4 linked regions of the Notamacropus eugenii genome follow. The protein of the gene in region 1 purifies or fractionates together with the protein of each later gene. This does not show direct contact. Links are inferred from orthologs where the notes say so. Each region holds a gene or a part of one and is shown in the gene's direction. Other genes may lie near its edges. The genes, in order: GRB2, DOCK4, PTPN12 and PEAK1.

Region 1 (7,642 bases):
GAATGGAACTGGAAGAAGTCAAGCCACCTAGCTGACTGGGTCCACTACAAATCTGTTATCTAATTTAATTGACCTTCACTGCTGTAAGGCAATCATTTTACTTTTTCCTATTTGATTGTCTAGCACAATCCCCATGGTATCCATCGATGCTATTTTTATCCCCATTTTGCTGATGAAGAAACTAAGGCAGACAATGGTTAAGTGACTTGCTTGGGGTTACACAAATTTTAAGTGTCTTCCAACTTCAGTTCTAGTGTTCCATACACTATACATACCTAACTGGTTATTTTCTTCCTCCCTTCCTTTTCTCCTTTCCTTCCTTCCCTTTTCTCTCTTAATTTTTCTTTCTTTCTCCTTCTATCTTTCCTTTCTTCTTTCCTTTTTACTATTTACTCCTATTTTTTAAAATTAAATTTCTTTTTTTAATAAAAATACACTTTTTCTTTTATTTCTTCTCTTGTCTTCACTGAGTAAGAGAGAAAAACAAACTCCCTGTTAAAAAACATATATGCATAGTCAAGCAAAACAAATTCCCCAAAATGGCCTTGGCCACCTCCTCCCCAAATACCTCAGTCTATACTATGATTCTATTGTCTTCTCTCAGGAGGTAGGTAACTTGCTTTATTATGAGTCCTCTGGAATCATGGGTGGTCATTGCATTGATCAGAATTCCCAAGTTTTTCAAAGTTGTCTTAGCAATATTATTGTTATTGTATAAATTATTCTTTGGTTCTGCTCACTCAATGCTGCATCAGTTCATACAACTCTTCCCAGATTTCTCTGAACTGTTCCTTTCATTTCTTATAACATGACAGTAGTCTATCACATTCACATAGCATAATTTGTTCAACTATTCTCCAATTGATAGGCAGCCCCTCAATTTCCAGTTCTTGGCCACCATAAAAAGAGTTACTATAAACATTTTTACTGCCTGCTTCTTTCAACTAGTGCTTATATACTATGGACTCACTGCCTTTCACCATTCTGGTTGCCCTTCTCAGGATACTCTCAAGCTCATATTGAGCTTGCAGTCCACTAGAACCCTCAGATCTTTTTTTTAACTGCCATCTAACAATACTTCCTTAATCTTATACTTCTGAGGTTGATTTTTTTGTACCCAAGTATAACACTACATTCATCTCTATTGAATTTTATCTTTTTAGATCCAACTCAATGTTCTAGGTATCAAGATCCTATTGTATTCTGACTCCATCATCCACCGTTAGCTATCCCTCTTAGCTTTGTATCATCTGAAAATTTGATGAGCATGTCATCTATACCTTTATCCAAGTCACTGACAGAAATGTTAAACAACACACAGCCAAGGACAGATCCTTAGGGTACTGCATTGTAGATCTACCATGTTGACAATAAATCATTAACAGTTACTCTTTGACTCTGTCCATCTGACTAGTTCTGAAGCCATCTGATTTTGTTATCATCTAACTCATATCTCAATCTTTTCCACAAGAATAATATATCTTTTTTTTAATCAAAAACTTCACTAAAACTTTGGTAAGCTATATCTACAACAGCGCTCTCATCTACCAGTTTATTAACGCTGTCAAAATTTTAAATGTGATTAGTACAGCATGACCTGTTCTTGATGAAGCCATGTTGACTCTTTGTAATCACTGCTTTCTTAGCTATTGACCTACCATCTCTTTAATGATCTGTTCTACAATTTTCTAAGGAAATTTTCAGATTCAGTCTCTCTCCTGAGTGATATTTCCACATCAATTACCTGTTGGGCATTCCAAAATGGATAACTCACAGATACTCAAACTCCTCTATCCAAATGATTTACCAGTTACATACTCCCCTGATTACAATTACCCAGATTCAGTCTGGTCTCATGGTTCAGGTTTGAAATAGAATGAAATAAGCCAACTGTATACCATCTAACTTTTTTTTTTTTTTTACCACCTAACATTTAACAAAAAGGAAATTCAATGAACAGTAGCATGGAAAGAATATTCAGAAAGTATGCAAAACACTGGTTCAGCTAGATTTAGCCCTACCTTGTCTCTATTAAAAAGGTTTCTGCTCAGAAGAATGTGTTGACTCTCCTGGCAAAGGGAAATCTTTAAAGCAACCTGCATGTGTTAACCAGTTCTTTCAACCAATCCTCATGTTATGGACTCAAACAACTTCATGGGCACCAATTTCTCAGAGGCATCACTCTCTTACTCAATAAATTTCACCAACTCTCCATTATGTCTAGGGTCAAATATAACTTCTCAGTTTGACATTTAAAGCTGTTTATAACCTAACTCCAACCTCTTTTTCTAGTCTTAATATACATTAATTCATGAACCATACCTTTTGATGCATCTAAACTGGCCTTCTTACTGTTCAGCAGTTGGAGAATGAATTCAGGAGAGTTCAAGGCATAGCTGAGAGAATACACACACACACACACACACACACACACACACACACACACACACACATACTTCAGGTAGTCACAGAGAGACTGCTTTCAGGAAGCTTTATGGAGTGGGACCTCTAGTAGCCCATCTGCCCATATCCAACAGAAACACAGTACCCAGGGAGGACCTTCCAGAAGATTCTACAAGCAGAGGAAGGACATTAAAGCTCCTAAGAGCCAAAGGCAAGAGTTACTTTGGCCACATATTTTCTTTGTACATAGCCTCGCTTGTTGTTTTTTGTCCATTTTTAAAGAGGAGCCAATGACATCACAGGTAGTCTTGACTTGCACATGAATTGAATTGAAGTGAGACAGAGTTGCACAAAGTTATCAGTCTGACTCCTTCTTCCAGTGTCATAGAAATCCGGTGGCAAGATAAAACTCAAGGTGACTACCGATGGCCTGAGATGCAGGGAGTGACCTTGGCTTCTTTGCTGTCTGACTAAGCTCTAAGCACTTCACCTGTTTTGGCCACCTTTGTGGTAGTTGGAATGAATTGTTTTCATCTACCCATTCCATGGGGATGGGAGGAAGCTTTCACAGGCTTTGGTTAGCTATCCCCCTAGCTTACCAACTGATTTGAGGTTCGTTGGTTACTCTCAACCTCATTTAGCCTATCTGCAAGATAGTCTTCCTGGGATGTCAATGCTGTACATGCTACAGATTTTTTGAGACACAGGTGAGAATTCGATGACATGTGGATACTAAAGGTTCATGAGCAGCCTTGAAAAGGACTGAGCAAGCCCTCACATACTCCATACTCCCCCCATACCATATATAGGCTCACTCATCCCATTAACACTGAGTATATGTTCGGGAGGGTACACCCCAGCTTTACTGAAGAAAATGTTTTATAGATAATGTACATAATCCGGCTCCTTCCTGCCTTTCCAGTGTTTTACCCTTTACTTCTTTCTACAATCTAGTAACATTGAACTCTTTGCTCTTCCTCACATAAGACACTATATTTCTGACTAGATATTTTCACTGTTCCATGCCTAGAATTTTCTCTATTCTTACTCTGGCCTCCCGGCTTTCTTAAACTCAGCCTAAAATCCCATGTTCTGTAAGAAGCCTTTTCTGGTCCCCTTTAATGCTAATGCCTTCCCTCTATGATTTCCTCCAATCTATCCAGTATATATCTTGTTTGTAGATAGTCATTTGCATGCGGTCTCCCCCATTAGATTGTGAACTTCCAGGCAGGAACTGTTTTGGGATCTTAATTTTTCTTTGTAAGCCTAGATCTTGGCTCAGTACCTGGAACATAGTAGCTACTTAATAAATTAATGCTTATTGACTGGACTATGGTATCTTAGGCATTTAAACCTTTGCTAAGGGCTAATTATGTCAGTTAACTAATTGTTAATGGTAAGCACACCAGTGGAGGTTCTAGAATTGTAGTTGTAGGAGTAGGTACCCACAGTCTGTACTCTATAACTTGAGAGTACCAGCTATCCTTTGGGGACCCCAATCTCAAGTATGAATGCAAATTGGGGGATACTCCAGAGAGGATGTTACATAAATAATATTGTAAACCCAATTATTTACAAATTGTCTAAAAAGTTGTATACTTTAACAATATAATAACAAAAACGTCCTTTTTTGTTTCTATTTCTCCTTCTGAATCATTTTTTTCTCTTTAGTAATTTTTAGGCGTTTGCTTTTAGGCGTTTTGACTCTTTTTCCTTCACTCACTTTGTATCTGCCAATATTTTAAAAAATGTATAATTCCATGATGTTCCTGTACCACGATTTATTCAGTCATTCCCACATCTTTAGACATGTGTTATTTCCAGGTTCTCTTTTTTCCGATGAAGGATGATACTGGTATGCCCTTTTTTGGTACAGAGAAGCCTTTTTCCCCTATCTTATCTCTTACCATCCTTAGGGTATTCTCATAGTGGGCGATGTGTTTCTCTTTTCATCTTTTACAATTTCTAGTTGGGGCGATGTCAGGAAAAGGGGAAGGGGAAACGATCAAGGGTAGGAAAGAGTTACAAACCACCTCGAGAAGGCGAGAGGGAAGTCTGGAGGGCAGGAGGTGGCGTCTTTGCTCTGGTTCTGAAAACAGTTACAGCTTCCTTTAGGAGGTGGGGGAAGGGTGGATGCCTGACGGCCTGCCCCATGACACCTGCTCGGAGGCGGGCCGGGGGCCAGCGCCCGCGTGTGCGCCTGCGCAAAGGGAGACTCCGAGAAGGTTTCCCCCACCTGCTGGGCAGGGCCGGGGAATGAACGCTTGCGCTCTGGGGCCCCTTTTACTGGGTGGCGGGGGGAGGGGGAGAAGGAGAGGAAGAGGGAAGTCTCCCGGGGGGGCGGGGCCTGGCCGGGCCGACGGAGGAGAGGAAGTTCTCGCGGGAGTACAGCGGAGGAGCGGAAGCGAGGCGGCTCTGGTGCTGCGGCTACCGGGCGGCGGCGGGCGCTGCTCTGCGGGGAGCGCCGGGATCTCGGCGGCCGCTCGCTGCGGGTGGACGGGCCGGCGGGGCGGAGAGCGGGAGCTCAGCGCCACTGTGAGTGCGGGGCGGCGGGCGGGGAAGCTAGGGCAGGGCCCGACTCTTTCCCCACCCCCCCACTCCTTTTTCTTCCCTTTCCTCGGGGAGGCGGCCCTGAGGGGGAGGCCGGGTCCTGAGCTTCGGGGCCGCCTCGGGCTGTGGGGCTGTGGCACCTCTGCTGGGGGTGAAGGAAGAGCCGGTGCCTCCGTCCCTTCACCCCACCCACCCGATCCGGGAGGCAGCAGTCCCTACCTGCACTGACACCTCCCTTCGAGACGCCCCCTCCACGGGGGGGCTCTGTTCCGAGTGACCCACTCTTTGAGAACCATCCCCCCAGTCTAGTCCTTAGGGACCTCCCCTCCTCCAGCGCCCTCTCTCTCCCATGCTGGGACCCCCAGAGAAGAGGCTGTGCAGCTCCCCTGCTGGGGGATTCTTGATTTCATTTTGTGTCTGTCTTTGGCTTGAGCGTTTGGAGACCCAGGCCGGGGAGAAGCAGAAATCGTTTACTGTATTCTGGTAACTACTAAGGCAAATGACTAATAATTCTCTGTGTCAGACTTAATGCAGGAAGCAGGGGATTCAGAAGAGACTGCCAGGGCGGTGGGGATGTCCCTTCTCTGACATGCTCGGCACTCACCTCTGTGTCAGCTGCTGTCTGTCTGGTGTCAGGAAAGATTTTGATTTTTTATTTTTCCTCAACTTCGGAGAACTCACCACAAAGCCTGCATTTTTCTAGGAAGAGAGGATAAGGGAACCATTTGAAGTGCATTTGTTTCTGTTATTTTTTTAAACTAGCATCACGGTGGGGGGGAAGTATTTGGTGTGATTGAAGCAAGGAAGTGGGACGTGTAGGGAGAATAAAATCAATTACTAGAAATTTTCTTTGGAAAGCTTTTAATGTAAAACTGATTTAAACCATGTCCTGTTTAGAAAATAATTCTGGACATCTTCATCTATGGTAGTAATTTGAAATTCAGTTTGAAGAAGAGATTATGGAGTATGCATTAGAGCTTGGTTTCAGGTATTACTTAGTTTTAAATTGAAAAGAATTGACCAGGCATGTTAGAAAAGGAATTTCTAGGTTTTGTTATTTCAATTTTTATGAGTACCGCCTTTCCAAACAAACCCTTTACAGGCTGATTCCTCCCTACCTACACCTGTATCATGTAAATAATTTTGGTTATCCTCTCATCTTTAACTCATTTCTATTCAGTGCCCAATGGATATCTGTATTTCATCATTAACAGATTTCTTTTTGTTTATGTGCATCATCAATTTTCTGCTTGCTTGAGTTTTTTTTCTTTAGAAAATGGTCAAATTTTAACTTTGTTGTTCCTGTTCTTTCACCTATATTCAGTGTAGCAGTAACTGTCTTTCAGTTTGAGAAGGACCAAGCCAGATGCTATATACATTCCACTATATTTTTTCATTCAACCAGAAGGGTTGCCAGAGATGCATGTGAGACTCGGGCTCCCCTCTGGGGATTTAGTGGACTCAAAGGATTGAATTCATCCCTAAGTAATTGACACTGCCGTAGGTCATAAGTGTAGTTCTCTCATGTCATTTGTATTGATTTTCTTCTAATCTCTTTCACTGTAGCTTGGGCCTTTGTGTTTGCTGTACCCTGTAGGGGCCTTTCTCTATGCCTGTGTCAGACACCATTATATTAAGGATTATATTATTCTAGGGTTTCTGAGAGTGATATGGATTTAGACAGATTCAGCTGTGAATTTTTAAAAATGAAGGCTTGAGTTGAGGTTCTTCTGGGTCCACTTCAGTTGTAAAATCACTTATTAGAACTTATTGAAAACCTTAGTAGAAAATAACTTCCTTAGCCCAATGGTGAATCAATTAAAGTGTACCCCTTGGTAGTTATATTCGTTTATTTACTGTGATTAGGTCCTCTCTCTTCATATTATCATTATTTTCTTTGTCTTGTTCTTGAGAATCCTCTAGTCAGTCCTAGACAAGAAAAGAAATCCTGGAGAAACATTAGCTTTCTCTTTTGGAGCCGTAGTGTTCAAATCTTAAGATCTTTTGATTTGTGTACCAGATACCAGGACAAAGCATTTGTGGTTTCTGATCAAGGTCTAAAAATTGTGTCTTATGATCCATCTGAGGCTTTAAGATTTCATTGTAATACATGTATTTTTACTTAGTAATTGTAATTGTATTTAAATTAATTTCATGATACAAAGTATTATAATTTTTTCATTTGCTTCCTCTGTCTTCATCAGGATTCTTTGTCCATCATTCTCATTCACTTGTATGGTTGTGGTTGGTGTGTACTCCATTTTTCTGTTAACTTATGTATCTTGACCTACTACAAAATGCCTACCTTCCTAGGAGACAGGTTCTGCTATTAAAAATGCATGTATTTCACCTCCTTCATTTCATGAAAGAGGTTGAGGTGATAGTGGTTATGGGTATGGAATATTGCATATACTGTCAGGTGGATGAATTTTTGTTTAATTTTTTTCTTTAGATATGTTTTAAAACAAGGCATGCAGGGTAGGAAAAGAGTAGAAAAATACATTTGGAAATGAATGTGATATAAAAGCAAAAGGCATCAATAAAAAGGGATTTGTTAAAAATAATGTTAAAGCTGCCATTGCAACCTCTTTCTTCCCCTTACACCTTGGGGTCACCACTAGCCTTATAGCCAATCCCAGTTCTGGTTAGGACTATTTACATATCATTTTCATTGTTTCTTTTCTCTTGT
Region 2 (7,159 bases), on another chromosome or scaffold:
ACTCAATGCTATATAACTATCTGCTAGCATCATCATTATTACCTGTGGGATCTTCTCTGACCTCCCCGTCACAAGAATGATCACCCTGTCCTTGCAGCATCTTGCCAAAACCTTACTCACAATTTCTCTTGCTTGTATCATAATTGTTTGTGTACATGTGTCCTCATCTAGTCCTTAGTCCCTAACCTCCTTAAGAGCAAGGCAAGACCTGTGTGGTTTCTATGGAGTTTAGATCTCTGAGGTCTAATCTGGTCCTAGCCACCTAACATAGTGTCTCACACATGATAGGCACGTAGAAAATAGAACTGCACTCATAAATTCTCGCTGAAGTAGTAGATGGTGATATGAGAAATTTCTGGGATCCTTGTAGTCCTAGAGTTTCTCAGAAAGCAAGAGTTTTCATCAGACTTCTCATTAGGACTGGCGATACTGCTGAGAGAGTCCCTCCCCTACCACCTGCACCTATACCAGGCGCTAGGAACAAATGCCTGAGCAAGCTAGGGCCCTCTCCTGCAAAGGAGTCTGGGAGAAGCACCTGGTATAGAAGGCTAATTTCAAGTGCTTTTCGTGGGAGTGAGTGAATGCTCAGGTGTGGCTAGGGGGAAGCTTGCAAGAACACCTCTGGTATTTCTGCCAGCTTTCCTCAAGTTCCATTCTGTATGACTGGCTGCTGAACCTCTGGTAGAGGCATCCTGGGGCAGATGTGACATCTCCATGTTTCCCCAAGATGTCTCTGGTAGGTGAATCTCCAGTGTTGTGCTGTACTGTTCCAAAATCCGACACCAAATATATCAAAGAAGGAATCTGGGCAATAGTGACAGGTCCTCCATCCCTGAGCATAACTCCCCATTGCATAGGAATGGGTCTCATACTAAGATATTAGGCTAGGCCTAGAAAATCTTACAAGTACTAGCCTAGACTTTTATAGCACTTCATAGCTTTAAAACTGCTTTATGCACAGTAGGTAAGTGCAAATATTATCTTTTTTTTTACAGATAATTAAATGGAGTCTCAGAGCAGTTCCCCATAATTTACTTGCTTGTACATAGTTGCTCGCATAATGTTGTCCCTAATAGATTATGAGCTCCTAGAGGGCAAAGATTGTCTTTTGCTTTTCTTTGCGGCCCCAGGGTTTAATAGAACATCTGGCACTTAGTAGGTGCTTAATAAATGTTTATTGACTAAGTTACTCCAGGTCACGAAGTTAGTAAGAGGTGGAGCCAGAGCTCAAAGCAAGGCTTTCTGGTTCCCAGATTCAGTATTCTTTCCATTATTGCATGCTACTTTAGAATTAGAAGGCATATCTTGAAGGAGTTGTTTTAGATCAATTCAGTGGGAATACTACAATACACAACAGGCAAAAAACAAAAAATGCATGTTTTATTAGGCTGAGTTTTTACTGATGAAAAATAGAAATGTGTTTGATAACAATGCTCTTTTAAATTTTATAGTAATTTACAGTTTTGAAGTAGTCTGGAAAAATTTTATGTAATGTTATGAATGGGTTACTAAAGGGGAGTTTGGGGGTAGAATGCTAAATGTGTGCTGCGATGTTATGAAAGTCAACTAATATAAATGTGACATTTATGATGTAATAAGATTTGTGCCTTGTTTACACATATTATCTCATCTGACCCCACAACAGCCTTTAAGCTAGTAATTATTGTTCCTATTTCATAGATGAAGAAACTGTGGCTAAGAGGTTAAATGACTAGTTAGAGTCACAGAATAAATGCCTTTCAGGTTTTCCTGATTCTAAGTCCAGCATTCTATGCACTCCACGGTGGCTTCTCTTTATAACATCCCTTTGTCCATTCCAAGAGAGATAACGGCTGGTCTGAGCTAGGAAGCCATTTCCTGTAATTTTGTAAACTGTCTTCAGCGAATGGTTTCAAGTCCATCTTTTGGTAGTCCTTCATTAGATTACACTGTCCCCTCCTTTAATGCTGATTTCAGGAATTTCTAATGGCATTAAAACAAAAAACTGAGAGTCACTTTTCCATTCAGCTTTCTCATTTTGGTCCATTTCCATTTTAAGAACCTCTTGTAGAAACAAATGTGAAAGTTTAGGAATCATTTTCTCTTCAACAGTCAGCTTGTTGACAATTCTAAATGTGACATCTCTGGGTCTTAAATAACCTTCTTGAGATGCTAGCATCTAGAGAACTTTAATTATATGTTTCCCCCAAATGAGAGTTGGGTCAAGCACTTGGTCCACCAAAATGAATACCAAATAACTCAATAATTAACTGTCTAGGATGTGGAGGTGGATAAACATTTGACTCAGCAGCCAGTTTAAGATATATAGCACTGACAGAGGTACTTTTAAAAAATAATTTCAGGGTTAGGGAATTTTGATAATAGAAGTGGCTGGTAACAGCACTTTTAACTTTGTGGTGATGAGACTCAGTTTTTGACCACACAATTATTAACTGTAAAAGCAAAAAACAAAACAAAAAAGCCTTCAGCAAAGGTGTATCAAACCTTATCTAGGGCAAAAATAACTTTTTTCCCCTCCTGAAATGGCAACTTCCAAATCACTATTACAGCTCTCTGCATTCTTTGCCCGGAGGCCCTCTTTTCCTTCAGGGGAAAGGAGGAAGAATCCGGGAAGTAGGAAAGCAATCTGAGACGGGTGGGCAGAAGGCAGAACTGGAGCGGTCACTCACTACTTGTGCACCCCCGGGAAAGTAATTTAACTCTCTCCCCGCTCCTATTTTTGTGATTGTTGTTTCTCCATCAGTAAAACGAGGAGGCTGAGCTTCCTTATGATCCTGCACCTAAAATCCCAGAAAAGACACATCCTGGAGGCTCCTCCCCCAAAGTTGGTTGCTCACCAAAGAGGCTCCTCCCCCAAATTTAGTTTCTGACCCAGGGTGCTCCTCCCTCAAAGTTTAGTTTCTTATTTCTGACACCATACAAAAGTCCTCCAGAGAACCCAAACCCATAGACTGGTAAAAGTAACTGTGATGGCCAAAACGCAACCCAAAAGAGTGTTACTGAAAAGTCCAGAGACCTCTGAATCGTCTCTGAAGCTGAGTGCAAGCTCTCTCCTCCTCTTCCCTTCCTTCATGTCCTCGGTTCCCTGACAAGAGTTCCAGCAACAGTATTCTACCCTCAAGGAGACTTTGGCAGAGATCCCAGAGAGGTCAGCGGACACAGCCTTCCTCCAGTGCGGAAGAAAACTGTAAGATACCGCTACACAAATGTCCAGGAACGAACATTTCATACCTGGAAGACGCAAGACGCACATAAAACAAGTTTCTTGATGCCAAACAAAGCCCAAAAGAGTCTAAGCTGAGGAAATGGAGGTGGAAAGACTTGCTAATTTGCAATGCCATACATACACGCCCCCAAATCAATCCACCCAACCGAAACCGATTGAACGGGTAGGAGCTCAAGTGGGGAGCTACTTCAGAACCGGAAGGGAAGAACCAAGAGAGGGTTCCCTAACAGCTCGGGGAGGGGAGGTGGCATTTCCTCCTCCTTTCTCCACCCGCTCTAAGGCAAACAGCTGCCAAATATGCGCCTCCGCCTCCTGCCCTCCCCGGGTTCACAGCGCCATTCCCAGGGCACACGTGGCTGCAGAAAGCTCAGCCTTTAAGACTCTGGCTAGCTCCTACAAGTCAGTTTGACTTGAGGGTTTGTGTTGCAGCAGGGACGACTGGAATAGAAAGCAGGAAAGAAAACTAATGCCACTGGCACCAAGGGCCCTGCTTCAAGGGGGCCACCAAACTCACCTGCATCACTGAATTTGCTGCTGCTGCCGCCAGCACCATCTTCTCCAGCTGCAGCCCCCTCAATCCCAAGAGAAGCCATTCCGCTGGGAGAGTGGGGGAGAGAAATGAGGAGGTGGGGTCTAGTTCCAATGAGAACCTAGGACTCAGTTTACACCTCACCTCACCCCACCCCCAACTTCAGCCTTTCCTCCACTCCCCAACGTAGCCACCAACAGCTCTTATTCAGCAGAACCGAACAAGGGAGAATGGGAGGGACCTCCATAAGCCCCACCCCAATCGCTAGGGTGTCCTGTCCCTTCTCTGGAGTGAGGTGGAAAACTACACTTCCCACCATGCATCGGGGAGTGCAGAGGAGGGAGGAGGGAAGAGGGGGGGAGTGGAGTGGAGGAAAGCAGTGGGGGCGGTGCGCCCGAGAGTGCCCCGGCGTGTTCGCTTAGTTCAGTGAATCAGAACAATGCCTGCGCGTCTGAATCCCCGGGAGCGCGTCTGAGGAAGCTGCGGAGAGGTGCAGCAGCGGCCCCAGCTCCAGCAGCCCGAGCAGCCTTAGCATCAGTCGGAGCACAGCCCGCGCACTGTCAGCGCTTGGGCAGGCTCCAGTCCTGACCCTTCTCCCTCTTGCCCAAGGACTGAGAGCGCTGAGCTGCCTTTAGCCCTTTCGCTGCTGCTGCTACTCTGGCTTCTGGTTTATTGTTTTGAGCTCCTGAGAGGAGGTGTGAGAGAGGGACAACAGAATCTTCCTTCAGCCATGTGGATACCTACAGAGCACGAGAAATACGGCGTAGGTGAGTCTTTCTCCGGGCGAACTTTTATTCTCTCTCCTGGGCTTGCAATTTTCCTCTTTCTCTTCTTTTCTGCTCTTGTTATTTGCCCCCTATATTTAGGTGAGGCTGGAAATGGATAGTTGGGGCATAATATAGTCCCCCGTTTGTTTCCCTCTTTTGCCTTGATACGGTGCTGTGCTATGCAGATCATCTCAAAGCGGAGAGAGATACACACATCCTTGCCCCCCCCAACTCGCTGGATTGGGGGCTCGCGCCCGCCCCAACGAAACCCTACGCACCCACCCCCTTCTCTACCACCCTCCGCTTTCAGATCCGCTGGCTAGCGATCAGCCGCCGATGCAAAGGGAACGGATCCCTTAGTTCTGCGTTGCCGACTCTCATCTCCGTCTTTGGAGTTTGGAAGTGGAGATGGGTGCATGTGTGTGTCAAGTTGCAAGGGAAAGGGCGAGCCCCTTTCCTAGTCTTCCCCTTCGTCCCTTCCCCCCCAAACCCCGGGATTTGAAACGACAATCAGCTGCAGAGATTTCCCGGGAGGAGGGTTGGGGACAGAGAAGAGAGGAAGGGGAGGGGGAAAAAACCCGAAACCAACAAAACCAGAAAGGGAAGGCAAACCCTTCCTTCTGGCTCGCATGAACATCCCCAGAGTGCAAAATGTGCAATAATCTACAAAGGACAATTCTGACAGGAGACTGAGCCCGTTCTATTTCCTTCCCCAACGCCCTTCTCCTCTCCACCCCCCCCCCCCCGCACATTTTTGTTTGTATTTTGTATTAAGTGTTTTTGAGGGTTGGGGGAGTTTCTCTGTGAATTTCCGTTGAATTGCTCCCTTTCCTTGTCATTTGAAAAGGAACGAGGACTTGGTTATGTTTCCACTTCTGGCTACTGCGTCCGGTCCGATCCTGGGGTCACTGCGGGGAGCCGGGCGTGGGGTGGGGTTTTTTTGGTGGGGGGTCAGTTGGAAAGTGCATTTTCAGTTCTGGGGAGTGAGCTAGGGATAGCCGTGGGTCAGACGGAGGCAGGAGGGTACGTTTTAAGGAAAGACCTGTCTGACTTTGGCGTTTTGAGAAAAAGGAAAACAGTGTAACACTCGCTCCTCTGTGCAAAGGTGAACAACAAAGGACATTAATGTTGACTGATGAACGCTGGATTCTCCCTTCCTCTCCCTCCTCCCATTTAATACGGACTAGAGTTCCCGTTCTTGTTTGAATTAAACTGGGTTCTTCCCTTCTCCCCATCCCCCTCCCCTCTTTCTGGGTTTTCAGGATTTGCCTTAAAAAAAAGAAAAGAAAGAAATGGGGCTTTCAGTGAAGGTCCTGAAACACGAACGGGCTAACCACGGCCCTAAAGGTCTCTCTGAGATCAGAACATTTATAGAATTTATCTATTATCCCCTTATTTCTTATCTGCCATCTACTGCCGCTAGGCAGTGCTTTTGAAAAGGGCAAATCTCTGTAGATGTGGATACTGTGGAAAATCTGCTTTCTTCCCATCTCATTCGTTTCCTGCAATTAAAAAAGGAAGATCAAAGTGCTGTTTGTGGGAGTCATTTTCACAGGGGACCCTCTCTCCCCAATTTTGCCTGGAGGAGAGACCGTGGAGTCCTCTGAACTGACTTCGTGAAGTGATTAAACAAAGTCAGCTCATCTTTTGCTTGACCTACTAAAAGCCTTCGTTCTGTGTTGAGTGGTTAGCAAGACAATAGTTTCTTCTAGATGTGTTTGGAGTATGTTTGACAGCCATTCTTTCCAGCTTCCTTCTTTTCCTTGGTCGCTTTTATATTTTTTCCATATTTAGGTAGAAGCCTAAAGAGTTTGTCTTTGTTTCTGAGCTTGAGGAAGAGGGTATCATCTCAGTATCATCTCATTGCACCGGGTTTAACAATTAGTGCAAGAAGCCAAGACCCATTCAGGGCAACCCCGTCCCATTTGGAGTTGATCCCAGATGTTGCTTTCTTCCAAGTGTTAAATTATAGAGATTATCGATGGGATTCATTTTCTTTTATTTTTCTATGTGCCAGGTCACAGCTGGGTTGCTAGTATCGATTAGCTCCCCTAGTCTCTTTTCTTTACTGCTGTGGGCAGGGTCTGATAAACCACTCTAGGGTTTGCTGGAGTAGCAAACAGGATATTATCAGTGAAGTATTTCAAGCTGCAGCAAAATCACTCAGATTTGTGTGGTGGTAGTTGTGATTTGGAGGCCACTTATCTGAGTGGGAAAAGGTGGCAAAGGAAGGGGGAGAGTGGAAAGATGAGTATTTCTTGCCAGAATTATTGCTTCCCTTTGTCATTTATACTGCAAACCTTTGAGGGCTAATAATATTTTTTTTTATTATTTTTCAAGCATTTGGCTTGTGGTTGCTTAGTTGTTCACCATCCATCTGTTAGAATTTTTTGGAGTACTGAGAAAAATTTGCTAGGATACTCCTGCATGCGGAGCTTCTTTCTTCACCATGGAGAGAACTATTTGTGGCTGTTAGTGCTTCAAGGCTTCTTCTCCTCCTCCTCCCTTTTACCCTTGATATAAATGTGTGTGTTTTCTGTAGTTCTTATGAATACCAGGGAAGAGTATTTTGTGGTTATCAAAGATTTGCAATTCTTGGTTCAGTTCAGTTTCATCAGTAATTGAAATAAATTGATC
Region 3 (7,148 bases), on another chromosome or scaffold:
CAACAAAAATGCATAAGGCATCATCCTAAGTGCTGGGATACAAGGACAAAATGAAAAATAGTCCTTGTCCTCTAGGAGTTTACTGTAAACAGGAGATCCAGGAGGGTGTAAAGATAAGAGAAGACTTTCCAAGGGAAGGGGCACATAAAATGAGCCCTGAATAAAGCTAGAACTGTAAAAGGCCTAGACTAGAAGCTCATTTCAGGCATGCAAAAGCAGGGAGGCAGGAACTGTAATACCAAGCTCTAGGAAGAGAAAATAAACAGTTTTAGCTCGAATGAAGAGTGGGTAATGTGTAGTAAACCTAGAAATGTAATCTGTAACTAGGTCTTAAAAGGTTTTACATGCTATACAAGAGGCAGTATGGCACTATGCTTTAGTGGAGAGATATCTATATTGAGAATTTTCTCATCAGAGAATTCTGTATTTCAATAAAATCATAAATCTCTTTCCTATTTCTTAAATGACAAGAGTAAGGGAATGGCATGACTTGACTTTGCTGTCTCTACAATCTCCTTTTTAGAAATCCCACAATAGAAAATACAATGTTTTCTACATGCATTAATGTAAAATTTCTAAGAAAAAAATAACATTCCTTTTTTAAAACCAATACTTCTTTGAGACCAGTTCATAAAGGAGGTGGGGGAGAAAGATTCAGGGTGGCATAGGCAAAAAGAGCCCTTTCTATTTCTCCTTTATGTTTATCGATTAGAATTTAGAGAGGATCAGGCGGTTTCCTGTATCAGAGGTTCAGAATGAACTTTCACCTATCTATATCTATAAAATTTATTGATATATCTAATTTATCTTTTATTCTTCTGTAATCTAATCTATTATTCACCTATTATCTAATCCAATTTTCTATCTTTTATTCATCTATCGTCTAATCTATCTATCTATCTATCTATTCTCCTTTAAAGGTGTTACTAGGGAGATACTCAGGAGTAGATTTAATCTCCTTTGCTAGTTTCACACACATGATTCCAGTACAAAAGCATAATGACTCAGTGGTTTATGCAACAAGCTGGAAACTCAGGCCCTGTGGGTTTCTGGCCTTGCTTCTGCCATTTACTTTCTAACATGGTGTAAGTCATTTTAAATCCCCATTCTTTAGTTTCTTCACCTGTACGATGAGGAAAATTCTATCAAATTGCTTTCCCGATGCATAAGAAACAATAAAAGTAATTCACAAATTGAGTTATAATGCTATGAAAATCACAAAATGCAAACTTTTCTGAGATAATAGCTATGAAAGTGATGTGAAAATTAAAATTATTATATAGTGTAAAGCATTATTATCAGTGCTAATGTGTTGAAAGGGGTACTAGGAACTTGAAAGAAGCAAATGAATCTGAAAATTCTTTTGGACAATTAGATTTATTCTTTTTCTCACCTAAACTTTAGTGAGAGCTCTGGAAAAGTAGCAAGACTCACTGATTTGCATTCATGTTCTTTTCTGCTTCTTGACAAATTATTCCAAATAGTGGGGCTAATGAGCAATGAAACGATTAAAAAGTGAGACCAGAGAAGAGAGGAAGAAAAGCAAAGAGTTGGGATATTAAATCCTTGAAGAATCATTAACTAACATCTTCAAATCCTCTCTGTCCACTGGATCTTTCAAATATGTTCTTCAAATATGTACCGGCCTCCCTATCTTGGGAAAAATAAAACAAAATAAAATTTTGACTAGATTCCCCTCCCTCCAGCCTATATGCTACTTTTCTTTTTACTTTAATTGATAATTTTCTCAAACAAATTGTCTATACCTGCTTTCCTCATTCATTCTTAACTTATCCCACTGAAATTCAGTTTCTGATCCCACCACTACATTGATTGCACTCATCACAGTCACCAGTATCTTCTTAATTTCCAGATCCAATTGCTTTGCATTTTTCTCACAAGTTTATTTTATAAGATTAAATATAACTGAAAACAGGACAATGAAAATATACGTAGGGATAACATTTAAAAGAATCTTGCATCTCGACAGGCTAGAGTAGAGGTGTCAAACTGGTTGCCTGTGGGACTCCAAGCGTGGTTGAGCTAGATTAAGATGTAAATGGGAAATGTTTAACAAAATATATAAAAAGACAACATAGATAATATTAATTTGTGGTTTTTAAGTCAATATATGGCCCCCAGGGATCCATTTCTATTTCAATTTGATACCACAGGTCAGAGCAGCAGGTTGAATCTAACAAGATAAAATTTAATAGTGAGAAACACACTTTGGGGGAAAAAAATCCACTTTCAAATCCAAGATGGGGAGTGAGGAGGGGAGGGCACAGTTAAACAATAGTTGTTCTTCAAAAGATCTGGAGGTCTTAGTTAACTACCAGCTCGATACGAATCAACAGTATGCTGCGGCAGCCACAAGAAGCCTAATGCAGTCTCGAGCTCCACTAAGAGACCCGGAGGTTTCAGCAGCAGGGCGATGACCTGCGTACCCTGCCCTCCTCAGACCTTCTGGGGAGAACTGTGCTTGATTCTGCATGCGGAGAGTGTGGAGAGCAGGGCAAACAAGACGGTCAGTGGCCTTGAGTCTGTGACCTATGAGGGTTAGTTGCAGCAAAGGTTGGAGAAGAGATGATCTGAGGCTGGGGAGTGGGGAACAGAATGGCTACCTCCAGATATCTGAAGCCCTGTCACATAGAGAAGGTAGATTGTTCTCTCTGGTTTCGCTGGACAGAACCAGGAAAGGGTGGCAACTGCAAAGAGGTCAGTTCAGGCTTGGCATCGGAAAAGACTTGCTAATCATGCCAGCTGTCTTGTTAGGGCTCTCGTAGAAGTGCTGGGCTTCTCTTCAAGCAGATGCCCACTGCATGGATGTTACAGTTTAGATTTCCTTCATATATGGGTTGGACTAGGGGGGTGCTGAGGTCCCTGCCCCCCCCCCCCCGACTGTGAATTATATACACATGTATAACGTATACATTTTGTTACGTGTGTAAAACATCTTTTTAGGACTGGATCTATGACGTCATCTGTTTAGGGAGCTCCTGGGGATGAACCCCCTCTTCCAACCAACCTTTCTGCATCTTACAGCCTTACAGAGTCTGGGCAACCAAGACGCAGAGGACAGCAGGCCAGCTCTCTATCCATTATAACATCCACCATGCCTGTTTTCTTCAGGTTTAGTGATCTGAGTGAGATGTTGAAAAGAATTTAAAAACTGGGGCATTGGAGGATGAGATTAGTGACCTTGGGCAAGTCTCTAGACCTCTCTCGCTCTCGTTTCCTTATCTCTAAAATGGGAATAAGAATGCTTGCAACCTTCTCCCGGAGCTCTGATGAGGAAAGCCTTTTGTCAACTTTAAAATTCTTCACAAGGGAGTTAACAGTAGTTGATGTCGGAGATCCTTTCGAGAGCTTAAACTTCTGCATTCTACAGTGCCGAGCGGTGCTGTGCTTGTTCAGTCTGCACGTTCCCCAAGCAGTATGAGCATCTTCCTCATGGGGCGGTTGAGGGGAGCAAGTAAGCTCCTCCCAAAGAGCTTCACCCCCATCTAGTGAACCCGTCAGCTTCATCCGTGCACTAGGAAACAGAGAAAGATTCAACGACTACTGAACACCTAAAGCAGTTTTTGACATAGCCACAAGAACCACAATTCCCAGTAAGCCCCACTCTTCCCAGGCCGCCTCACAGACACTATCCTCTTACACTTCGGCCCCTCCTCCCGCCATCAACGTTGCATGCTGGGAATTGTAGTTCTAGCTTAGGGATGGGGAAGGGGAAAGGAAGGAAGAACTTAAACATTTTCGGGAATGTATTTTTCCTCAGTATGGGGAGCGACATACTCTCGATCCAATAGAAGTCCTACTGGGTCCTGTAAAGGCAAAGCCCTATGAGATTACAAGAACTCTTCTCCGGGGGACCTACAATATCCTGGAGAGCAAATTCTCCGGATAGCCAATTCACCACCAGGATAGTGGAGGGGCGGAACCCCTGGCCCCGGAAGGAGAGCGGTGATCGCTCCACCAGTCAAGCGACGGGTCTTCCAGCCAGTTGGAACCCGAAGGATGGGACCGGGGCCGTGCTTTACATCGGAGATTGGAAGAGAAGAGAAGGGCCGGCAGGATTGACAGAGAGTTCCGTTTGGGGCGGGGCTGAGGTCGCGGGGCCGCGCGTCGCGTCGGGGCGGCGGCGGGGACGCGCGCCTGGGGAAAGAGGTCGACTGTGCCGGGCGGAGGGGGCTGGGCAACCTAGGGGAGTCGCGTCCCGAAGGCGGCGGCGGCGGCGGCGGCGTCTCTGGCGGAGGCGGAGGCGGAGGCGGAGGCGGAGGGCGGGGAAGGAGGATGGAACCAGCTGGGGGCTGGGGCTGGTGCTGAGACGCGGCGCTTCTCCCTTCGTACGGCTCCTGGAAGTTGTGCGGGTGTTCGCCGGACGCCGGTGCCGCCCCTGCCGCTGCCGCTGCCGGCCGGGCTTGGCGGGAGAGCAGGCGGGCGGGAGGGGCCGCCGGGGCTGGCGGTGGTCGGGCAGGGAGGGGGGGAAGGGAAGGGGGAGCGACCTGGGGAAGACGGAGCGCGCTTTGCGCCGGGCGGGCGGGCGGCGGCGGGGGGGCCAGCGGCCGCAGCCGCCGGGAGGACGCGAGGCGATGGAACAAGTGGAGATCCTGAGGAAATTCATCCAGAGGGTCCAGGCCATGAAGAGCCCGGACCACAATGGGGAGGACAACTTCGCCCGGGACTTCATGGTGAGTTCTGCCCCGCCCGGGGTCGCTTTGTGTGGGTGCCCGTGCCTGAAGAGGGGGTGTCAGCGAGAGCCGGGGGCGACGGGGCGGACGCCCACCTGCCGGGCGCGGGGGCTCCTGCGGCCGCGGGGGGTGGGGCAGCCGCCGCCCCGAGCTCGGGTCCCGCGGAGCGGGAGTGGCTGTGAGGCGGCGGCTCCCTTCGTCGGTCTCGGAGACCACCTATTGTTCCCCCGCTGCCCCCGCCCCGGACACCCCCCAGGCTCTGGCGGGGCGCTGGGGTAAGTGGCTCTGGCACCTTCTCGCTGCCCTGAAGCCCCTCCTCGGTCCGCCCAGCTTTTTGCTTTGAGTGTCTGGAAAGGGTCAGGGCAGCGGGGGCTTGGGGCTGGCGTTTTCTTCCCAGTCCTGGCGTTTCCGGGGGGGGGGGGGGTAAGGGAGAAGGGTGCAATCGGTGTGTAGGGCGCATGAAGCAACTCCATGGGGTGTCTGGAGCTCTGGGTGGTTGGATTGGGGGAGGACTGGACCGCGCCTGGGTATCGCAGGTTCTCCCCCAGGTTTGCAGGAGGCATCTCCTGGAGAGAACGTGTTCAGTGTACCAAGATGTCCATAGCTTCCTGCCTGGAGCCCACGTTATTGGGGTCGTGTGTGTGTGAGGTGGAGGACAGCAGGGAAATAATGCTGAAGGAAGCCTTTTCCTAGGGGATTTTGTGCAAGGCAATGGAGGGGATGTGAATATCACTTCCTATCCGGGGTGGGGGTGGGGAACTTGGGAACAATAGTTGGGATGGGGCGGAGGCGATGGTTCTCTGGGCTGGAGGCCTGAACTGGGAGATAACCTTCCTCACTCTTCCTCCCCCTTGTGCCCCCCTCCCATTCAGTGTCGGGGCTGGACAGATGGGAAGGACGTAAAGTTGTCTGCAGGTAGATGAGTTCAGTGAGGTTAGATATCTGGAGAAGGGGAGCTCATAAAGGCAACATCCTTCCATTTTCTATTCACCCCCCCCCCCCTTTTTTTCTGGACAATGACCCCTCAAGAATTATTTCCCGTCCTGGGAGGAGGCGGTGGGAGGTGGCCGGTGGCTGCTGTTGCTCCTACGGATATTGCGCAAGACTCTGGGGCGTTGGAAACCCTGGAGGTCTGAGGAATGGAGGAGGAAGCGGGACTTTGGGAAGTGCTTACTCCTTCCAGGGCTGGTTTGGGGAGAGGGAGTTAAAAGCTGAGATCTGCTTGGGAAGGATTTTGCTCCTGAGGGAGCATAGTCTCATAACTATATTTAGAAAATGAAAAAGATGTAGTGCTGGCATCCACAGAGAGGGCTGGGGAGAAAACATCCAAACGAAGAGAGCAGATGGATTTCTTTTAAGGTTCAGGTTATCCTTAGGCTAAAGCAAAGTACCCACTGACTTGAGGTTAAAGCTTTACTGCAGAATTCCCTACTCACATGTAGGGAATTTAGATGGTAGATTTTAAAATGAATTGTGATGACTTTACAGAGCCTTGTGATTTTTCGTGTTTTTTTTCCTGAAACCTGTAACATAAGATAAGGAACAAAGATAGGTTGATGACCATAATTTGAAGCTTATTTCGAAAATGTATATTTGGGCTGCAGTGATAAAATTTTACCCAGGAGAAAAAAAGAAAAGAGTGTATGGCAAGTGGTTTAACCCTATCAGCCGGAAATGGCTATTTTTCTTTGATTTGTGTGTTTCATTCATTCTTTTTCTGTGCTTTTTGAGAAATAGAGCTACATTTAGGAGGAAAATGTAAATAAGTTATTTTGTTTTGGTTTTTTTTGATAAGAATTTTCAGTATGTTGAGATAATTTGAAATGGAGTCATTCTTCAAAGTAACTGGGATTTGGGGAGGTCCTATTTTAAATTTTTTTTTACTACACCATGATGGATGAAGATGTTTACTTTAAAATATAAACTTCCAGAAATAATTTTTTTCAGTGCTAAGGAATGAAAGAAATAGAGGAGTTGTAATCTTTGCTCATCTCTTCATTTGTTTTCTTGTTATTCTAGCTCTTCTTGGATACTTTTATCTACTTCACTTAGATACTTGAGACTTTTTCTTATGAAGGAGAAGAATTACATAATTTAATGATTCGGTACCTGTAGCTTTATGATCATTACCTCAGGTTCAGGTTCCCAATACTAGTATATCTTTAGGGAAATGTGAAATACCTTTTGGGACTTTTCTTAGATTCCTTTGAGTTGTGTAGAGGCCGCTTTTCTCTCATTGCCCTGGGGAAGAAAACTTGTGTACTCTACGTTTTAGACACAAGCCTTCCAGGGATAAATTATTAATTAAACTATTTCATTTCTGAGTATATCTGCTTAGGGAGAGAGAAATAAAAAAATGTCAATCTCAGTTTGCTTCCATAATTATAAGGCATTGCTTGGTGACTCCAGTTCCAAGGTTTGATGACTAAGGTCTGTCTCATCACACCAACTCTA
Region 4 (7,021 bases), on another chromosome or scaffold:
GGAAGCAGGATCATACAAATTTTAGGTTGTATCTTGGATGCTATTCAAACCATGATCATACCCTATAACCTTATAAGTAGGGAGGTGGTGATTGAGTTTCCTGTCCTTGATTTCCATCTGGAAAGTCAAAGACTGCAATTTTTGTAGGGTTAAAAAAAAAGGTAAAAAAAGTAGAAAAACATCTATAAGGTAAGAAAATATTGCCTACTACTCACACCTTTAGGATATAAAAATATTTCAAGAATATTAGTATACTTTGGATAGAACAAAAGATGAACAAAGGAAAAACAAAAATAGTAAAATGTGGAAATCACAGGAAGGCCAATTCCAGCTCAAAGTATACAAATTTTTTGGGGGGGGGTTTCAAATGAGAGCTATCCCCAAATGGAATGGACTGCCCTTTGAGTGAGCTCTACACCACAAAATAGAGACTGGATCTCCACTTGTTAAGGATGTTGTAAAGGAACTTAACACTGGATTGAAGTAGATTTTTGGGAGTCCATTCTTACTCAAAGGTCTATGTTCCAAAAGAGTAAAAATTTGTAAAAGATGACAAATGTTATCAATTCTGCTAAAGCACTGAGTTTTGTATTATTGACTTATTCCTAACTACTTTGGGCAGTGTGATGATCCCTGGATGCTTTGGTAACATAAGTTATCATGCAATCTGAGTATTATTAGTTAGGAGTGCAGATTCCTATATAATTCACTGAAACAAAATTTTAGTCATGTCCCCAAAATACAGTCTAAGTTTACTTTCTAATTTTGTTGTCCTGATTATAAAAATAACAAAAACAGGAGCCAAGCATATTTTTAAATTTCTTCTATCACATAGTAAATCCATCAGCTTCTCCACATAACTCTCTTTCTAAAATGTTCTATGGTCTTCACCTCTCTTCTCTGCACATACTCCTCTAATATTTCTCCTTTAATAGAACCAACAAATAGCTGCCACTTATCAGAAAACATCCTTTCTCAGATATGTGCTTTATGTATTGCTTTCTTCTGAACAGACACTTTTTCAACCTGCTCAAGTCTTTAAGCTACAGCAATTTTTTTTATTTCTATTATATTGCATTTCTCTAGTGGAACATCATAAAGGCCAACTTAATATACTCCTTTGCTTTCCAACTACACTAAGGAAATGTAACTACCTCAGTTCACATTTTAATATCGTTTTTCTCTAACTTTTTCACAATTTCCTATTATTTCCATAATTCCAAATCTGTCAGGATGAGTCTACAATACTCTATGTCTTATAGCACAACAAATAACGAACACTTCTATTTTCCTTTTAATGAAACATTCTTGTGATAATGAAATAAATATCTTGCTAATTATTTGGAGGTCATTTGCATGTTCCTCTCTTTCATTAAACTTTGGCCTGACTTTGTTTATGTTGTTCCCCCCACCCCCCCAAGGTACTCTATCTATAATTCTGCAAGTCCTTCCTTCACTCTCCCCTCACCCAATACAACAAACCAAAAACTAAGAACTGAGTTTTAGAGACCTCAAATAAACATTTTTTTTCCTTAAAAACAAGACAAAAACCACAAAAAGCTTAAGATGAAGAAAACAAGCTGTAATTTTCATCTTGGATTATGAGGCTGGTTAATAGTGAATGGAGCAGTTTATTAGAAGTTCAACAGAAATAAATTTAATAGTTTTAATCTCTAAATTATTTCAAATCAAGCCAATTTATAGCCTTTTCAGTGACAGGTTTAAATAATCAGCTTTCACAAAACACTAAATGTTTCAGGCTTCCTGAAGAACAGAATATTGCAGTTGAAGGGTGCCCTAAAAGATAATTCAGCAGATTCAAGTTAAGTAGAACCAAAAGAACAATTTATAGGCTGACCACAAAAATGTAACAGAAAATACAATCAAATGACTTCAGAGCTCTGATCAATACAGTGACCAATTCTGCCATCAATCAATTCACAAGAATTTATTAAATGCCTACCTACTATGTACCTAACGACATATCAAGAGATTGCACAGAGATTGACATACGATGGGGAAACAAAACAGTTCCTAGAGGCTAAGGACTTTAGTCCAGGGCCTAGAAAGGAGCTTACTCTGTATTAGGAAAACAATACACACACACTCTCTCTCTTACCAAAAATATATAAAATAAATACAAGGCAATTTCCAGGGGGAGGTACTAACTTTTGGGGAGATGAGGAAAGGCTTCAAGTAGAAAGGACCTTGTAAGCTGTGCTTTAAAAGTAGGAATTCTAAGAGGTAAAGAGGAGGAGTGCATTCTAGGGACTGAAGAAAGGCAGGGGAAAGACAGTGAGATGGGAGATGGAATGTTGGTGAAGCATACTACCACCAGGTGGAAGGGATGGGGGGATGGACCCCTGTGGAGAAGGAGGCACACATTCACATACAGAGTTAATGTGTTCATTTGTTTTGCTTGATTGCACTTGTTACAAGGAAAGGTTCAGCGGTTAGGAAAGGGGAAGTCATTGCAAAGGAACAGGAATGTAAAAAAGGAAATGAATAAAAAAACTTTTTTAAAGAAATCTATTTTTACTCTTTCATTGTACAGATAAGGAAAACGAAGTCCTCAGACAGGTTGCGTGATTTGCCTAATGGGGTCACACACGTCCAGGATGTGAACATGACTGGCTTCAAATCCAGTACTTTTTACACTCTACCCCATACCCCACTCTAAATAAGACACCTTTAGCAGAGGCTAAGGCGCTTTACAAATATCTCATTTGATCTTTTCAACAACCCTGTGGGTGTTGTTATCATCCCCATCTGACAGCAAAGGAAACTGAGGCAGGCAGAAATGAAGTGACTTGGGGAGGCTCAGGAGGCTCGATTCGAACCCCAAGCCCAGCTCTCCATCCCCGGCCCCAGCTGGCCGTCTTCTTAACATAACATCACTTAAATGCTCCCACTAGAAGTGAATTCTTCTGGAAGCCTGTAACAAGAACTGAATTCGTGTCAAAATGGGTCAAGCTCCCAAGTGTCTGTTAGGCACTGGAGACACCGACGGAAACTTCTCCCTACAAAAACTCACATTCCAAGAGTAAATCAAAAGCTTGTTTTTGACCTCAAACTTCAGGGCTGCCTCCAGCCGAAGGAGCTTCCCGAGCACCGGACCGCAGCGGCTCGGCCCCTTGCCCCGCAGGCTCCGCAGCTTAAACCCGCACGGGGAGCGTGGGGCCCCTCAGCCACGTAACAACGCGTGACCGTGGGCAAGGCCGAGGACCGCGGGGTCCGAGGGTACGGGAGAAAGCAGCGGATTCGGTAAATCGGCCTTTCAGGCCGGAAGGATGGCGCCCCCGGACGCGAGGGAAAGGACCCAGCCCGCAGCGTCTCCTCCATCAAAGGCTACCTGGCAGCCAGAGGCTGGCAGCAGGTGCGCAGGTGGGGGCCGGAAATGAAGCTGAAATAAAGACCTGGGGCCACACGTCACTACGGGAATGGAGAAAGCAACCTGTGGGGGCAGTGGGGGAACCTTCACCGAGACCACTAACCTCCGCCCGCTCCCTGCGCCGGAAGTGAGCAGGTACCCTCGGCCGGACCCGCCCCCGCCGGAAGTAGGTGGTCCCTCTCCCAAGGAGCCCCAGATTCCCCCCACCACCGGAAGTAGTCGGCCCCCCAACCGGCCAGCCTGCAACCAGGCAAACTGAGGGTCAACAATGGGGAAGGGAGCGGGGGAGGACGGGGTGTCTGCGAGGTTCTTTCGGCGTCTCGGAGCGGGCCACCCCGAGGGTCGTCCGCGCTTACTGACCTGCGGGCGGCGGGCAGGGAGAGGCCGCGGGCCTCCTCGGAGCCCCCCGCACTGAGCACAATTCCCTCAGTCCCTTGCAGACGCGCTCGCTCTCCGCTGCGGACCACTTCACGCCTCGACGCACGGATCCCTCCACCGCAGCCCTCTCCCCGCTCCCGCCACGGACGCCCCCGCCCCCTCTGCGCCTTGGAGAGCTTACCTTACCGTAAATTCCTGACTCGGTGGGGAACACTAGCGGTTTTCCGGTGTGGCTCAAGGCCAAGTGGAACTTGCCGCGCCGCATTCCTCGAAAAACTCTCGGGATTATTTTTCTTGGTCGCGGAATGAACCTACGTGCACACGAACAAGGTGATTTTTCGCAGAGATTGCTGGGAGATGTAGTTTATTTACTCCGCCCCCTGCAGACTCTGGGAGGCCTAACCAAAGCGCGTCTGTATTGAAAAGAGAACGGAGTCGGGGAGGGGAAGCGCTTCGTACTTAGTTTGCACTCTCTTTTTACTCCTCTCTCCCTTCGAAACCCAGAAGCTCCGGGTCTTCAGGCCGGCCGCGGGGCCCCGCGCCAACCTGCCACGCCCCCTATCCTAGCCCCGCCCCCAAGCCAATCAAATCCCCTTGGCCAGCTGTTTCCCCGCCCCTTTTTTCCTCGGCTACCTGGCCGCGGGGTGACTGGCCCTTTCCGCGCGCGCGCGCGTGCGCGCGTGTTGGTGCTTTCCCCTATCCGCGGGGCAAGAGGTGGGTGCTTGGGTGGTGGCTGGGGAGCGCCCTGGACCGTGGGGCACGCGCGCGCGCCTGTCCGCGGGGGGAAGGGGGAGGGGAGAGGCGGAGGAGGGAAAGCGCGCGCGCGCACATTCCAGGGTGGCGGCGGCGCGCACGGAGCCGGGCGGGGCGGGAGCGCGCGGGGGCTGGCGGGGGCGCGCGGAGGCGGCGGCGGCGGCGGGGAGTTAGTTAGTTGTTGTGAGTGTCAGCGGCGGCGGCGGCGGCGGCTCCAGCGGAGGCGGCGGCGCCGGGACGGACCGGGCCGGGACCGCCCGCGCGCCTCCCGCCCCCTCCCAGCCGGGACGGGCCGGCGGACAGACGGACGACGAGGTGGTCGTGGCGGCGGCGCCCGCGGCTTCCAGGTGAGGCGTGCTGCCCGGGCGGAGCCCCCTCCCCGCGGGACCAGCCCCCCCGTGCCCTGGCAGGGCAGCTGGGGGCCGCGGGCTCAGACTGCGGCGCCCGCGGGGGCCGGAATGCCCGCGGTGACGCGAGGAGCCGAGGCTGGCCGGGGACCCCCCGGGGTGCCCCTGCCGTCGGGGCCCGGGGCTTGGCCCCTCTGCGGAGTTCGCTCCCTTCCCCCTCCCCTCCACTGGTCCGGAGTGCGGGGCCGGGGCTCCTTGGGCGGTCCGTCCTGCGGGCCAAGTTCAAAGCTTGGAGCCCGGACTCGGTCCGCCGGGATTGCTGCGGAGCTCGGCAGAAAGCAGGGGCTGGCAGTGGGAGTGTGCGCGTGCCCTCTCCGCCGCTACCCTGTTGCAGTCCCCCTCGGGAACCTTCTGGGATGGGATGGGGGGCGATGAGTTAGAGGAAAAGTATGATTTCCTCCCCCTCGGCCTGGGGACGGCAGAGCTGGCACGCTCCTGCTCGGCCTCGCGATGAGCTGAGAGGCGGCCCGCTCCTGGACCCGGGGCTTTCTAGGCGTCCTTGGACCGAGACCGGGAAAGGAAGCGGTGGCCGGGGCGGAGCGCTTCACCTGAACTCGGCTCCGGCCGGAAGGTTCCAGTGCATCTTGGGGGAGGGCTGAGACCCGTGCTTCCGAATCCTCCGATTCCGAGGAAGCCGATCCTGGCGAGAGGCAGCGCCGTCTTGGATGTGAAGGTTCAGGGGCCCCGGTTAAACCCTTCGCTGCTCCTGGGCTTCCCCGAGGGGGCAGAACTTCCCGGAGCGGTTCTGGTCCCGTTCGGTGACGGCCTCTGTAGGCATCTTTGCGCGCCGACTTGCTGGAGTGTTTGCTCGCTGCTCTGTAGTGACTCACTTTGTTAAGAATCACTGAAGTAGGCAGAGCGAGCCTTGTTGGCCAGAGTGGTGGGGATTGGGGCTGTCTAGCCTCGGCCCTGGAGGCTCTGGGGGCGCCGGCCAGGACTAGCTGTGGCCCGCACCCAGACTCCGGGGACATGCACCGAGCGTGCTCTTCCGTGACTGTCGGGGGCGTATCTGGGGAACGCAGCGTCGCTGGTCATCTCTGGAAGAACGAGAACTTTATCAGGTTGTTGTCCTTAGTGTCGCTTTTTGATGTACCATGAGTGGCTGTGGTGGGGATGGTTTTGTTGTCTTGGGAGACAGGGACCGCCGAGGGACAAAGGGAACGCTCCCTAGGAGTCGCCTTGTCTGGTGATGCCTCCCCTCCTTCTTAATATGGCCTTGGAATCCATTTCCGAGAATATTCGCTCTTCATAGCTGTTTTTTGAGAATCGCCTTTTTTTAAAAAATGTGTTCCTGGAAAGTGTTGTGTTTATGCTCCTGTAAACATTTCTTGTGCACATGTACGCTAATGTAAATGTTGAAGTCTCTGAGCTTCAGAACTTTATTTGCTTATTTGCATATGTGTTTTTCAACATTTAACAACACCTACCACATTTGCCAAATGAGGAGAGGCCATAAATTCATTTTTTGGCATATTTCGTAGACTTGCTCTTCTCAATTGCTCAATGGTGAAACATCATGAGATTAGCATTTGCTTTATGAGAGCGATTTGTTGTTTTTAACTATATAATGTTGTGCTATTTAAATGAAACAGGTGCTGTGTTAGAGCTGATTGTGTTGCAACCTGCCAGATCACTTTTTTTGGTTGTTTCATTGATTGTGAAAATCGGTAGGGACTCCGCTGTGGCCTCTGGTGCAGATTTCGTATCATGAAATCAATGGCTGCTTCAGAGCCTTCAAATCAACAGACACATTTATTAAGTGCCTGATATATGCGGAGGGGGATGCAGAGATGAATAAAGCACTATCTGTGCCGGAAGGGAGCAGAGGTGTTGAGATGAACGCAAATCTAATGAGAAATAGAACAGTCGCTTGGGAAAGTTACAAAGTACTGGCACTTATCTTTTCCAGCTTGTTCGGAGGAGATCCGGGCACCCTTGGTGGAGAAGGAGGAGGAGGGAGCTTTCACAGGGTGGGAGGCAGAGGGATGAAGCTGGGGAGAAGTGCAGGATGAGCTTCTGGGTAAGGTCAGGCTCAGCAGGAGGCCTCTTTGCTCCGCTCCAGTCCCTTGGTAGCTTTTGGTGCCTTTTCTTT

The links.
Region 2: the proteins of GRB2 (region 1) and DOCK4 purify together in Homo sapiens (co-immunoprecipitation; 4 studies listed by BioGRID and IntAct, counting the BioPlex papers as one, with this or other methods). This does not show direct contact. The link is inferred for Notamacropus eugenii from reciprocal best matches to the Homo sapiens genes GRB2 and DOCK4.
Region 3: the proteins of GRB2 (region 1) and PTPN12 purify together in Homo sapiens (affinity purification with mass spectrometry; 3 studies listed by BioGRID and IntAct, with this or other methods). This does not show direct contact. The link is inferred for Notamacropus eugenii from reciprocal best matches to the Homo sapiens genes GRB2 and PTPN12.
Region 4: the proteins of GRB2 (region 1) and PEAK1 purify together in Homo sapiens (co-immunoprecipitation; 3 studies listed by BioGRID and IntAct, counting the BioPlex papers as one, with this or other methods). This does not show direct contact. The link is inferred for Notamacropus eugenii from reciprocal best matches to the Homo sapiens genes GRB2 and PEAK1.

Annotation. Positions count from the first base shown.
Region 1 is NC_092873.1:341,472,173-341,479,814, reverse strand, and holds the start of GRB2 (growth factor receptor-bound protein 2), read left to right. Parts: upstream 1-4,625; 5' UTR 4,626-4,938; intron 4,939-7,642. UniProt on the Homo sapiens protein: Non-enzymatic adapter protein that plays a pivotal role in precisely regulated signaling cascades from cell surface receptors to cellular responses, including signaling transduction and gene expression.
Region 2 is NC_092874.1:141,836,216-141,843,374, forward strand, and holds the start of DOCK4 (dedicator of cytokinesis protein 4), read left to right. Parts: upstream 1-4,152; 5' UTR 4,153-4,485; coding exon 4,486-4,522; intron 4,523-7,159. Other genes in the region: ZNF277 (zinc finger protein 277), read right to left, coding at 3,741-3,819. UniProt on the Homo sapiens protein: Functions as a guanine nucleotide exchange factor (GEF) that promotes the exchange of GDP to GTP, converting inactive GDP-bound small GTPases into their active GTP-bound form. Involved in regulation of adherens junction between cells.
Region 3 is NC_092874.1:153,756,836-153,763,983, forward strand, and holds the start of PTPN12 (tyrosine-protein phosphatase non-receptor type 12), read left to right. Parts: upstream 1-4,132; 5' UTR 4,133-4,595; coding exon 4,596-4,694; intron 4,695-7,148. UniProt on the Homo sapiens protein: Dephosphorylates a range of proteins, and thereby regulates cellular signaling cascades. Dephosphorylates cellular tyrosine kinases, such as ERBB2 and PTK2B/PYK2, and thereby regulates signaling via ERBB2 and PTK2B/PYK2.
Region 4 is NC_092872.1:257,226,022-257,233,042, reverse strand, and holds the start of PEAK1 (inactive tyrosine-protein kinase PEAK1), read left to right. Parts: upstream 1-4,012; 5' UTR 4,013-4,099; intron 4,100-4,379; exon of another isoform or gene 4,380-4,483; intron 4,484-4,676; exon of another isoform or gene 4,677-4,869; intron 4,870-4,999; exon of another isoform or gene 5,000-7,021. UniProt on the Homo sapiens protein: Probable catalytically inactive kinase. Scaffolding protein that regulates the cytoskeleton to control cell spreading and migration by modulating focal adhesion dynamics. Acts as a scaffold for mediating EGFR signaling.